Oryzias latipes: one gene and its partners. The protein of the gene in region 3 purifies or fractionates together with the protein of the main gene of each other region. This does not show direct contact. Links are inferred from orthologs where the notes say so. Each region holds a gene or a part of one and is shown on either strand. Other genes may lie near its edges.

Evidence for each region.
Region 1: the proteins of setdb1 (region 3) and faf2 purify together in Homo sapiens (affinity purification with mass spectrometry; 3 studies listed by BioGRID and IntAct, counting the BioPlex papers as one, with this or other methods). This does not show direct contact. The link is inferred for Oryzias latipes from reciprocal best matches to the Homo sapiens genes SETDB1 and FAF2.
Region 2: the proteins of setdb1 (region 3) and atf7ip purify together in Homo sapiens (affinity purification with mass spectrometry; 6 studies listed by BioGRID and IntAct, counting the BioPlex papers as one, with this or other methods). This does not show direct contact. The link is inferred for Oryzias latipes from reciprocal best matches to the Homo sapiens genes SETDB1 and ATF7IP.

The regions. Positions count from the first base shown.
Region 1 is NC_019868.2:20,367,309-20,371,603, forward strand, and holds the start of faf2 (FAS-associated factor 2), read right to left. Parts: upstream 2,866-4,295; 5' UTR 2,803-2,865; coding exon 2,740-2,802; intron 1,698-2,739; coding exon 1,629-1,697; intron 1,268-1,628; coding exon 1,133-1,267; intron 928-1,132; coding exon 851-927; intron 761-850; coding exon 622-760; intron 515-621; coding exon 429-514; intron 1-428. Other genes in the region: pin4 (peptidyl-prolyl cis-trans isomerase NIMA-interacting 4), read right to left, coding at 3,770-3,928. UniProt on the Homo sapiens protein: Plays an important role in endoplasmic reticulum-associated degradation (ERAD) that mediates ubiquitin-dependent degradation of misfolded endoplasmic reticulum proteins.
Region 2 is NC_019859.2:10,792,871-10,796,352, forward strand, and holds part of atf7ip (activating transcription factor 7-interacting protein 1), read left to right. Parts: intron 1-2,830; coding exon 2,831-2,892; intron 2,893-3,402; coding exon 3,403-3,482. UniProt on the Homo sapiens protein: Recruiter that couples transcriptional factors to general transcription apparatus and thereby modulates transcription regulation and chromatin formation. Can both act as an activator or a repressor depending on the context.
Region 3 is NC_019874.2:19,105,070-19,109,439, reverse strand, and holds the start of setdb1 (histone-lysine N-methyltransferase SETDB1), read right to left. Parts: upstream 2,841-4,370; 5' UTR 2,748-2,840; coding exon 2,731-2,747; intron 1,901-2,730; coding exon 1,697-1,900; intron 1,614-1,696; coding exon 1,447-1,613; intron 1,348-1,446; coding exon 1,304-1,347; intron 1,035-1,303; coding exon 908-1,034; intron 823-907; coding exon 652-822; intron 535-651; coding exon 333-534; intron 258-332; coding exon 184-257; intron 91-183; coding exon 1-90. UniProt on the Homo sapiens protein: Histone methyltransferase that specifically trimethylates 'Lys-9' of histone H3. H3 'Lys-9' trimethylation represents a specific tag for epigenetic transcriptional repression by recruiting HP1 (CBX1, CBX3 and/or CBX5) proteins to methylated histones.

The DNA of each region.
Region 1 (4,295 bases), on a different chromosome or scaffold from region 3:
GTAAACTGAACTTCAGTCTTTTTTTTTTATCTAAGTCATTAGAAAATAAGAACCTTCACCGACACTTTACTCTGAAATTTCATTTACTTCCCTAACAGTTGCACATTCAGTTTGTTTAGTATATAAACTGAAAATTTGTAATTTAATAGCATCTTTGAGCAGTAATTACATGGTCTGAAGTGTATTTTCACTACATTTCATAGTAAAAATACACTTCAGACAACATAATTAGATTTTTGGTATTTGGAAGATCATAATTCGGAAATCTCTGACATCACATTGTAGTTGCATTTTCGGGAACAGATTGTAAATATTCGAGTATTCAGATACTCGTAACAGCTCTATTGGGCTAATATATCAACAGTCTTTGAATGAGTGCTACATATTCAGGAGTCCAGATGGCCACAACACAAAGATGATTACTATACCGGCAAAACTCGTCTGTGTCTTGATGGTCGTCTCCATGAAGATACACTAACAGGTAGCGGAGTTCCCGTTTGGCATCATTCAGTGCCTGCAAAGCAAACACAAACAGACAACACAAACGTGCTCAGTTTCTATGCCATTCCATCTATCCGCTTCTGTTAAATGTGTTTCTATTCTCTCCAACTATCTTTTCACCTGGCTGTAGGTCCCCTGGTAAAACACAGGATGTGACCGGCCATACTTCTCTTCAAAACTTTGAATAAAAGACACCACATCTCCAACAGGGTCTGTCACGCGACCGCGAGGATCTGGCCTAATGAACCGTAGGGCAAACCTTGAAAATAAAGGGGAGGACACATGTGAAACTCTATTGCTTTAATGCATAAATGAGCAAAAGTACCTTAAGCAGATGTGATTCAATTACCTGAATATGTCCAGGAGTGTGTAATATGTAAATCTGAAGGGGAGCATTATCAAGTAGTAACTCCATCCTAGTAATCCCTGCAAAATAGCATTTAATAGCAATTAATAATAAATAAATAAAAACTGAACAGCAACACACAATGACAAATCAAAAGAAAAACAGAGACGACTTCTAGAAAAACAACAGTGCCATAGTTTCAAAGACCATACATATCAAGCTAGAATAAACAATTTTTTTCTACTAATCTTATCTGGGGTTGAGATAATACGAATAAAGACATACCCGGGGTTGAGGCCGTGAAACGATGTAACTATAAACTCTATGGTCTGCTGTGTTAACCTGAAGCGGTCTGGATGGAGGAGGATTGAACACACTAGGAACTCCTTCCTGCTCATTGAGTCTGTCTTGCACTGCAGCCTGAAAACCAAACACAGCATTTCTAGACAGTCACACTTTACAATAGCTGAAGCTCCAATTGTTTGGACAGTGATCAGAGAATTTTCAGTTTGTACATTCAAGCAAGCAAAATGAAAATCCAATGACAAATTAAAATACCCGTTTGAATCATTATTTTTGTTTTAATGTAATTTAATTGTAATGATACAGTTTCTTTCAGTGGTTAAAAGTCAAAACAATTGCTTCTCCAATGTCTCCTATTCACAGTAGCAGTTAATCAATAACTGCTGATTCGACATTAAAAACTGTTCACTGATTTTTCAAAGAGACCCTCATAGGGTCCACAATGTGAGCATATATTTGGAGAAAAAAGAAAACATACCTCTATGTTCCAATTATGTTGCTCTAATGTTCGGCGACATTGGTCCATTGATTCCAAACCTGTTAAATCCTGTTAAACGTGAAGTGAAAGTCAAGCTGATGATGACAGCGGAAAGAATGTAAAACTAGTCAGATTTTTTTTGCCAAGGTCCCCCTCCTTAAGCCTCAAATTTAATGTTAAAAAAATAAAAAAAAATAAAAAAGCTTTTAAACAGACACAAATAGATCTATCAACATTCCTCTCACAGTATTAGATCATTAGTTCACCACAGGTTGGCAGCCTCGAAGAACTTAAGAGTAACAGATTTTTATGAGGAAAAACAAACAAACAATGATTTTATAAATATTTAGGGCTCTGAAATGGCTGAAAAAAAAAATAGAAACAGCATGATGATGTAGCTGACAGACTAATGATCTCACTAATGTAGCCTTTATGTGGCAGTAAATTGACTTTTGTTTTCAAATGTAAGCTCTGGCCTGCTCGTTTGTAACAGAAACTTGGGATTTGAAAGATTACGCGAAAAAAATGAATCCACAAACAATTACGTTAAATGTGACTGAGAGGCGATCCTCCTACAGTCTGAAGAATTCTGATCTCGGGTATAACGACAAACACGAGCAGACAAGTCTCTGTGTTGCAACGTAAGATCTATTGACACAACTGGAACGGTTTTTCTTTTCTCCCTAAAACTCCAGAAAGAATCAGGTTAGAATGACAGATGTGCTAATGCTCATAGGGAACGTCAGTGAAAACCTAAAATGGTATTTAAATTAAAAAAAAAAGAAAATAGTACGAAGGTAGGTAGAATATTTAAGATAAGGACTGGTTGTGTTTTTTTTTACAACACAAAATAAAAGTAGCGTTTTTAAAGCCACTCTGTGTCCCTGAAAGTCGGCTAACTAGTTAACTAGCTTAGCTATTTTAGCTAGCCTCGCTAACGCCAGCTCTGACTCAAGTTGACGTTGGGGGGAATTATCGAAGTTGACCGTGCAAAAAGGGTTCCCACATACAAATCTTAACAAGTTAACGGTGACTCACTATCGGCAAAAACATACCGACACACAAGCTATCACACATGTGTGTGGAAATGAAAAAAACTTAGTCTGTCTACCTGAAATTGAAGGAGTTTTTCGGTCTGCGCCTGGGATAATTCTGGCTCCTCTGGCGCCGCCATCTTACCTCGCCAATCATCTAGCAAGGCTTAACAACGTCAACCGTCTTTTCCTGGTGCGGTTCCGTCACGCGGTGTGCAGCGTGCTGCCCCCTACTGTTCTGGCTGTCACCCAGAAGACCAACAAATAAAAATACAAAAATATAAAGAAAGAAAAAAAGAAACTAACAATATAGTGTTTAATTAAAAGCTAAAAATAACACCAGTCTTCGTTATTTAAATTAATTTGTCTTTATGTAAATAGATATATCTATATATATAAATATATACTGTATATCAATATATACACACACACACATATATCTATCTATCTATCTCTCTCTATATATATATGTGTGTGTGTGTGTGTATATATATATATATATATATATATATATATATATATATATATATACATACACACACACACACACACACACACATATATATAGAGAGAGATAGATAGATAGATAGATATACATAGATAGATATTATTAATTTTGTCATTACAGTATAATTATTGTAATTATTTAGTATCTTTCTAAAATTGCTTAGATTTACCTATCATTTTTTTATTAAATATGATTGGGGTAAGTTAAAAGTAAAAGTATACAGTAAAAGTATTTAAAATGTAAAACAAATGTCCATAAAGCACATTTTATATGTAATATAGTCATGTTCACATTTATAAAAGTGAATCTTACTTTTCAGAATACCAGAACATGATTTTATCTTTGTTTTTTTCTGAAAGTATCACACAATTGACACCAAATGATTAAAAAAGGCATTTATTTGGAACGTCTTTATTTTATTATTGGAATTCAACGAAACACCTTAAACTGCAAAGAAAAATCCAGAAAATTCCAAAAGCCAATCTTGTTGAAGTAGTTCACAAAATTGCTGCGCAAGTTTCAATCATATGTTTGTCTGGTCCTTTTGGCTTTTGCACATATCACTGTTTTGTCCAATCTCATAGAGAGAGAGGCTAATTTTACTTTTTCCCCTCAACCATAATGATGTGATACCCAAACTTTGTCTTGACAGGAGGGTCTGTATAAACCGGTTTGTCCATTGAACTGATGGGTAACGCAAACGCCGCCTCCTGGAAAGGTCCGACCATTGATCCTCGAGTCATCCAGCCCAGGTCACCCTGTTGACAACACAATGATGAGGGAACCACAAAAAAATTGTAATAATAATTTAATTTACTTAATATTATATTAATTTGATAGACTCTTTGTTTCCCTTGGTATAGAATGCTCATTTTTAACTATGACCTTTTGTAAAATCTACTGTAACACAGTTTACACTCTGTGTGTCTTTCTTCTAATTGTTCTTTTTTAATATGGTTTGTGGATTTTCTTCATGGCTTTTTGACTGACCAAGAAGTCTAAATGAAAACTAGCCTTTTAGCTTAATTCTAGCATAACTGTATAGTTATGTTGTATGTTTTGAACATTCACTGTCATCTATTGAAATATAAAAGAGAATCGCTCTTAATAGTAGAAAACAAATAA
Region 2 (3,482 bases), on a different chromosome or scaffold from region 3:
TACTGGACAGACACAGAGACCACTCAGCAGGCACACCAGGTCCAGGTTTCTGCTGATGCCCACAGTAGACACTCCTCCATACGTCAGCTTTGAGTCGTAGAGGAGAGAGGTGGATTATGATACTGCCCCAGCAGTGAGCAGGTTCCAACCATGGGGGACACCAGGAGTCCAAGTGGATGAAAGTCCTGACTGTTGTCCAAAACACGTATTTTTGCTGTTTGTTGCTTTGACACAGTCAGGACAATTTGGACCAACATCGATGATGGTGCTGCGAAAAATGAAAGTTTAGGGAAGAACTATAAGGACTGATATAGAGATGGAGATCTCCACAAGCCTTTTGATCGCCTCTACATGTCGTTGGTGTTCCTGCCAAGCCTTCTAGAACTACAAGAGACAAAATCACCCTTTGTCCAAGCCCCTACCAGCTAAGTTGATGACAAAAAAACAGATTCCAACTGATTCCAGTCCATATTTTGGAACATTCACATCAGTAACCCAGAAGAAGAAGCAAAAAATGATGGAAAGAAGGAACTCAAGGCTATGACAAAGGCCTGCCAGGATTATCACCAGCCAAGGAATGAAAGGATGACGATGTACAAGAAGGACAAGTTGACTTGTATTTCATATAATGGGGGCTGAGACTTTTTGTACTGGTTGAGTCGAGCACTCTTTTGTGAAATCCACCATATATACTGGAAAAAACTGCAACAGAACGTGGACCTTACGCAGCCATCCTATCCTGATACTGGGTGCCATATTTGCATATATATGAACTGTTCATGGACTCAGACAGCGGACGTTTGGAGCATGTGGCGGCTACAAGGAGAGCAGATGGATGCCCCAAAGGGGGGGAAGCAAATGCCCTATACAAAAATCTGGGAGAGGGCCCACTTGTCTGTGCTGCACCACCCATCCTGCATGTGCCACAGACTGGCGAGGAGTGGAGATGGACGCTGGGCTGTGAGAGACATGCCCTGTCCAACACTAACAGGAACATGGGTGGGGTTGACCCATCTGATCAGCTCAAACGGTATTACTCCGCCCACAGAAACCGGGCTCACTGATTCAGTACTGCCCTGCTGCACTTGTTGGAAAGGGGAACAACAAACATGTATACCTCGCACCTTGAGACGAGCAGAGCCAAGCTAATGCAGCTTGTGACACACAGACGTGATGGTGGAGATGGTTTAGTGTGAACAAGACAGGTTTTCCCCAGAGCAGGAGGCCGCATCCACATTCCCGTGCCCATCGACACAGATTCTGATAATGTCTAAAACACAGGGAGGCTGAAAAGCAAATGCAGCCTTCAGGTGATCAAGATCAGGAAAGACGCAGCTTTTGAAGTAAAGTGACTCTGTTTGTGAAGCTGGACAGGAAACTGCTTTGTGGATCTGCTCAAATCTCCTATTTATATATAAATAGGGGGGAAAAGCTTGGCTGCATTTTTAAACGTTAAACGTTGGGTCAAAAATTGAACATGATTGAGATGCGGTCATGTGAATTCGGCTGAAGTGATTTGAGTCTTGGTCTGAGACACTGGCTGAGACACTGGCTGCCTTTTCATTTAAAAAGTTGCATAGCTGCTAAAAGCCAAAAGGTTTGTTAAGTTTAGGTCCAGTGTAGCAAAAAGGGAAAGCTAGGTGAGGTTGTACTGAAAAAAAAATGCTACCAACCAGGGCAAGGTGAACTGTTTTATGGTGAAAATATAAAGATCAACTCAGACAAAAACGGCCAATCGTACCCTGGACTCCTAAGGGTTAAGTCTCACTTGTACGTCCAAAATCCTACAGATTGGTCGGGATGATAAAACATTTGTTTTATGAACCCTCAAAGTAAACCCCCCCCGTGGGTCGAGGTCCTGAGTCTTGTGACGTTCTACAATATGAAGCCTGAGCGTTTCTGCAGGCAGAGCAGTGTAGTTAAAACTGCACCTCTTCTTCCAACAGCGTGCTCCGTCGGCAGACAGTAGAGCCGCAGCCTGAGGTACCCAGAGAGGGAATGGCACCCTCTCTCGGTAAGACCCCTGCACTGTCTGTCAAGGTGGAAATGGAAGAAGAGGACATGGGGTACGAGCAAGAGACAGATGTCTCACACCAGATTGCCATGGCGACAAAGCTGGCAGAGTTCAGTGAAGGAAGATGCAGAGCTGAAGTTAAACTCCGCCCGATTTCTTCCCATTTGGAGAGCGTGTTGTACAACAACTGCAAGCGAAGCTCAGGAACCCCCAGGCCTGACCGTTACGCATCTTACCTTTTCCGCTACTTGGTCCCTTATGACACCTACTGTGACTGGGTGGCAAAGGTCAATTACGTTGGATTAATGGGAAAGGAGGCACTGCCCACAAACTTGAGGAGAGCAATGAGGATGTACATTGACCGTCGGTTTCCTTTACTGTCAACTGAGAGGTGGAGAGAGATTCGTGACGTAATCAATGAGATACTCAGAGTCAAGAGAAGACCGGAGTTTTTTCGAGAATATGACGGAAGGACTACAATGTTAATTTGAGGCTGTCACACAATCATAAGCATTCTGGGACAATTGTCATGAAGCACAATAATCAAACGGTATTTAATCTTTTGTCTTTCATGCAAACACGTAGAAGGACATTAAGACCTGGTGACTTGACACTCCAAACCGCTTAACCCCTTAACATCATACCATAAACTTGGGCAACCATTTTGTAAATTGAACCTTCATGCAAGCTGTTTTACTGTGTTGAATGGAATAAAACGAGGTGTCCACGCCCTCTTCTGTTCAATTGTTGTGCTGTCATGGACGCAAAGGGCTTCCTATGTCTTCAAGTCTAAGCATGAGCAATCTTTCTGAACAGGCCGGTCCGTGCTACCGTCGAAGTAAAGCAGACTCCAACCGTTCCTTCGTCTAGCTCTGCTGGTGAGTAGCAGCATTTTTTTTCCAAAGTGGAATTCTGTGTCCGTCTGTACGAGAACAACGGAGACGGTTGATAGATTTTGGGGCTTCAGTCTTGGCAGCAGAATGTGTTTTTCATTTAAACAAGTTCTGGACATCACTGCCATGTTTCTAAACCAATTTGATTTACAGTCACAGGTTGATGATTTGAATACATTTAGGATTTGGTGTGAATGGACTAAATATTGATTCATGTTTAAAAATTGTTTGGGTATTAAAAAATGGATTTAAGCCACCCAAATCAGGAGCAGCTTGCAGAAAATCTGTAATTTTGTCTTAACAAATACAAAAATCAATCCACTTCATGACTCTGACAGTCTAGATCCTTATTTATTCATGTTACCTAGTCCTAAACCATCTTGTTGTGGGTTTAGGTTGTATCTGCCTTTCAGAAAATACTAAAAATATTCACGTTTACTGCTCCATGGAGCGTCCTCCTCCTAACTGACCTGAACTCTTTCTGCTTGTTCCCAGTTGTTTCGGTCCAAGCACCTTTACCTGCCTCTGTTGCAGCCTCGACCACCTCCGGCACCTCCACTGCCATGGTTCCACAG
Region 3 (4,370 bases):
GCACCATCGGCCTGCTGGGATAGGCAGAGATATACTCCTCGATAAAGTCTCGACAAGAAGCATCTTCTATGTCCTCCCAAGTGTGTTTTACTGTAAACAAAAAACAAGAAAGATCTTCTTTGTTAAAAACTTCATTAAAAAATGTGCATTTAAATCACTAAAATCTGGGAAAGAGTCCCTTACAAGGTCTGCAAACAGGGTAAAGTTCAGGAAGTATCACATAGGAAGCATAGCCATCATCGAAGAAGATCAAGAACCTGCAAAACATACAGGGACAGCAATTGTTTAAATAATGACCAGCACAGGGCCTCTTTAGATTTGGGAGCACCCACCTCATGCGGTTCTTGTTGTTGGGCATTTCTGCTACGATTCCTGCATACAGCCACACCAGGTTGCCATCTTTGTACTTGGCAACTACTCGAGCCCCAACAAACAGACTCTCCAGAGTGGGGTTGTAGTCGAAAGCCACATGGTTTCCCGACAGCAGACTCTTGCCTTTATCAAACTTTACTTTGTATTTGTAAACCCCACCTCCTGATTTTAGACAGAAGCACCAGAGACAAAAGAAATAATTAAAAAAGGTAAAAAATACCGGAAAACCCAACAAGTGTTTACGCACTAATTTAAAGAAACTTGGAGAAAAGAACACACCAATAGGGTTGATGGCAACAAGAGTGCCTCTGTGCCAGGTCTTCGTGCGTTTCTTTCCCAGAATGTTCATCCCAATTTTGAGCTCATCTTCTTTTATGTTTGGGCTCGGCTGAGTCATTCCTTGGGATGGGGCCTGAGACACAAACACTGCTGGTGCCGAGCTTTGAATACCTGCAGGAAGAAGAGCCACAAATGAGAGCAAGTCGAGGAAGATATCAAGAAGAATTGTGATGCAGGAGCATCAGTATTTGCTCACCTGAAGGAGCAGAGAGCTGTGTTGGAGATCGAAGCAACGCAGCAGATGCTGGAGACTTGGCGACTATTTGGACCAACTTCTGAACTTGGTGGGAGGTTTTCTGCAGAACTGCAGAGGCTTCCTTTAACTGTTTTAACAACAAAAAATCAAGTAACTGTGTTTTTTTATTGCTTCACTTCATATGGATAGGGCAAAGAAAAGGCAGAACATTCAGCGTTTCCAATGTCTTCTTAATGTTTTTTATCCTAAACTGCATAAAATCTTTTCAAAATCTGGTCAAAATAAAGATACATATTACTTTTCCTTCTTCTGTGAAACATTCCATACATAAAATAAAAAATGTTTATTTAAAGATAGAACAACTTGTTTATTGCGAACATTTAATTGATCTCTTACCGCAGGGTCTTTAGAGGGGGTTAATGTCTTGTTTGGGGGAACCACTGATTGAGTAAATTAAAAACAGGAAAAGATAATAATGAGGAAACATCTTTTATCAATGTATAGTCATACTTTCTCCATGACAAATTAATATAACTTACAACAACCAACAGCAATAACGTCGTCGTCATCATCGTCGTCTATCTCTATAACTTCAGAGGGCAGGGAACCTCCTCCGCCTCCCTCATCCTCGGAGCCGCTCTCACGATAAACAAGACCATTCTTCTTACAAGCTTCCTTCACCAGCTTCTCACACTCTATTACAGACCTGCAATGAAATGAGGAGCATGGCGTCAACCATCTAGACACGGTGACACAACAAATAAATCAAAGGCAGAAGCACATTCTTACTGGTTGGCATCAGTAAGCAGCATCTCCGTCTTTGCCTCCTCTTCCTCTTTCTGCTCCACCCATTCCTTAAGCTCCGTCAGCTGAGCTTTCTTCTTCTGGACAATGTCGCTCTTTTCCACAGCTTCATCAATCCATTTCTTCAGCTCATCCAGGGATATGCCAAACTCTTCCTCCAGACTGGAGTCCCAGCCATCCACCTCCATTCTGAAGAAGAACAGTCGGTAAGAAAGAAGTTGAATAATTAAAAAAAGATTTAAAAATAAAACATTTAAATGAAAACTAAAATGTGTCCATGATCAAATAAAACTTTCTTGATCTATACAAAAAACTGTGCGAAGATTAATTGGAAATGCTTTAAAATATTAAAATGATTAATTACTATGACAAATGTGGAGACCAAAAGAGATGCTGTGACTAAATCAATAAAAGAGCAATTAAAAACAAAGACTGTGAGATTTATTTAAAAAAAACAGTCTGTAAAGCAGGGAAAGAAAACAAAATATTGGGGATAACACATCAACAAACACAACAGGCTTTCCATCAATAGCTGATAGTAAGGTCTCAAATGATCTTAGTCAATAATTTGAAAGAAAATCGTGGAACTAAATAATTTGGACCAACTACGTCACATTAAATAAATATTAAAAGCATTACAGAAAAATAATGTCTACAAATTAGGATGAATTCTTTTGTTTAGCTTTACCTTTTTAGCACAAACAGTATAACTTAAAATCAGAAAAAGGAGAAACAGAGCAAGTTTTCTTTTAAGAAAGGGCTGCAAATTAAAATCTCCACAGATTCAGTAAACGGTGCTAAAAGAGCAGCATGGTGGAGACAAGATGCTGCTGGAGCTCGATACTGGATGCATGCTAGCTGGTTAGCTTAGCATAAACGCTTCATATGAACGTAAACACCCAAGAGTGCATAAGTAGGTGGCTGTAGAACGTGCATATTTATTTCGTCTGGGGGGTGTTCTTAAGGATGCGGCTTATGTATTTTATATTAAAAAAAAAACATCTGGAAAAAGTACATACCCTTCAACGTTTTCCATTCTATGGGACGATGCTTTAAAACTAGCTTACGTTAAAGCTACGAGCTAGCTACAATAGGGAGCGCTTGACGTGGCTCCCAGGGTATCCCGACTGGGCGGTGTTAGGTGGGCTTAGTGAAGTAGAAGCAAAACATCCGACTCATTCGTTTAACAGCGTCCAAAAAGTTCTACCAAAAAATATGATTCTTGTTATTATATTTTTATATTCAGAAATTTGCAGGGGTCTGTAAAGATTTTAAGCAAATGTTAGATAGGAAGGAAAAATCAACGTCAATTCGCAATTGCCCTGGTTCTCCTCGCTCAAAATGGTCAAAACAAGCGAACACTCGATTAATTTTGTTTGGTAAATTTTAAATCTCTCATTAACCATCATTTTTAAAGACTTTATTGTGAACAAACAACATTATCAGATTAATCTACTTAATTTAAACAAGTAGTGTTTTGATGTATTAAAAATAATTCCATGGTGTAATTTCTACGTTGCTTAAAAAATGTCCGTAGACGTTTAAGGACTCTCAACTTAAGGAGCATCAGAAAGTTAGTATTGGTTAAAGTGCTTAAAAACATTGCAGTCATTTATTTATCCTAAATTATTTCTGTTAACAAAAGCAACTTTTTTTTTAACCAGACAATGATAAATATTGAACGTTGTTTTGTGCTATTTCAAATGTATTTCTGTACAGGTACCAAAGCCCCTAGTTGGTGAAGGTCACACTCACCAACTTTGGCAATGAAATAAATTATTTATTTAAAATTTCCCAAAAAAATGTCACTTTTGTGCTAAATTCTTGGAACAAAAGGAAAAAAACAATACAAAGCATCTGAAATAAAAGTTCAGTTGCTTTTACTCAGGGCTATCAAAATGTTAAATACAGATCTTGATGAATAATAATAATAATGTTTGTATCAGCCAGTATTTATGCAAATTTATCTATACATACATAGATATAAAAACACTTTATTTGTAGAAAAAATTGTTTTGTTAAAATAATTTTTCACAAATCCATCTATCCGTCTATTACCTGCTATTTCAGAATCAGAGATACTTTATTGATCCCACACGTGGGAAATTTGTTTGTCACCATAGCAACTGACAGCAGAGGGAAAAAAGACTTAGAATTAAGTAAAAAAAAAAAAGCAAGAACAAGAAAATGTAGCATAAATGTGTTGTGGGTCATAGGGATTGCTGAAGCCTATCCAGCTAGCTTTTAGGTCAAAGGAAGAGAAACCCATAGGTCAATATTGATTAACTTTATAACATAAACAATCCTAAGAAAATGTAAAACCACATCACTTAAGCACACGTGAAACCCCACCGCATATACTTGCATGATAGTGATCAACAACTATTCCACCAAAATTCAAAAATGTAGAAATTGTCCAAAGAATTTGCGTTTCCAATTTTATTTTCTGATCATCCGTCATACACAGGGGATCCATGTCATGATTCCTCAGTTTCCTCTTCTAGGAATGTTGAAGGAGAAACTTCGCCGTAAGGGTCCAGTACCAGCTGAGCGCAGCGGACAATCGTCACCAGCAAAAAGAAGCAGAGAAGAAAGAAGAAGAAGAGGGCAAAACCCAGATCCACATCCACGTCTGACCAGGGCACAGGAGTAACTGGAG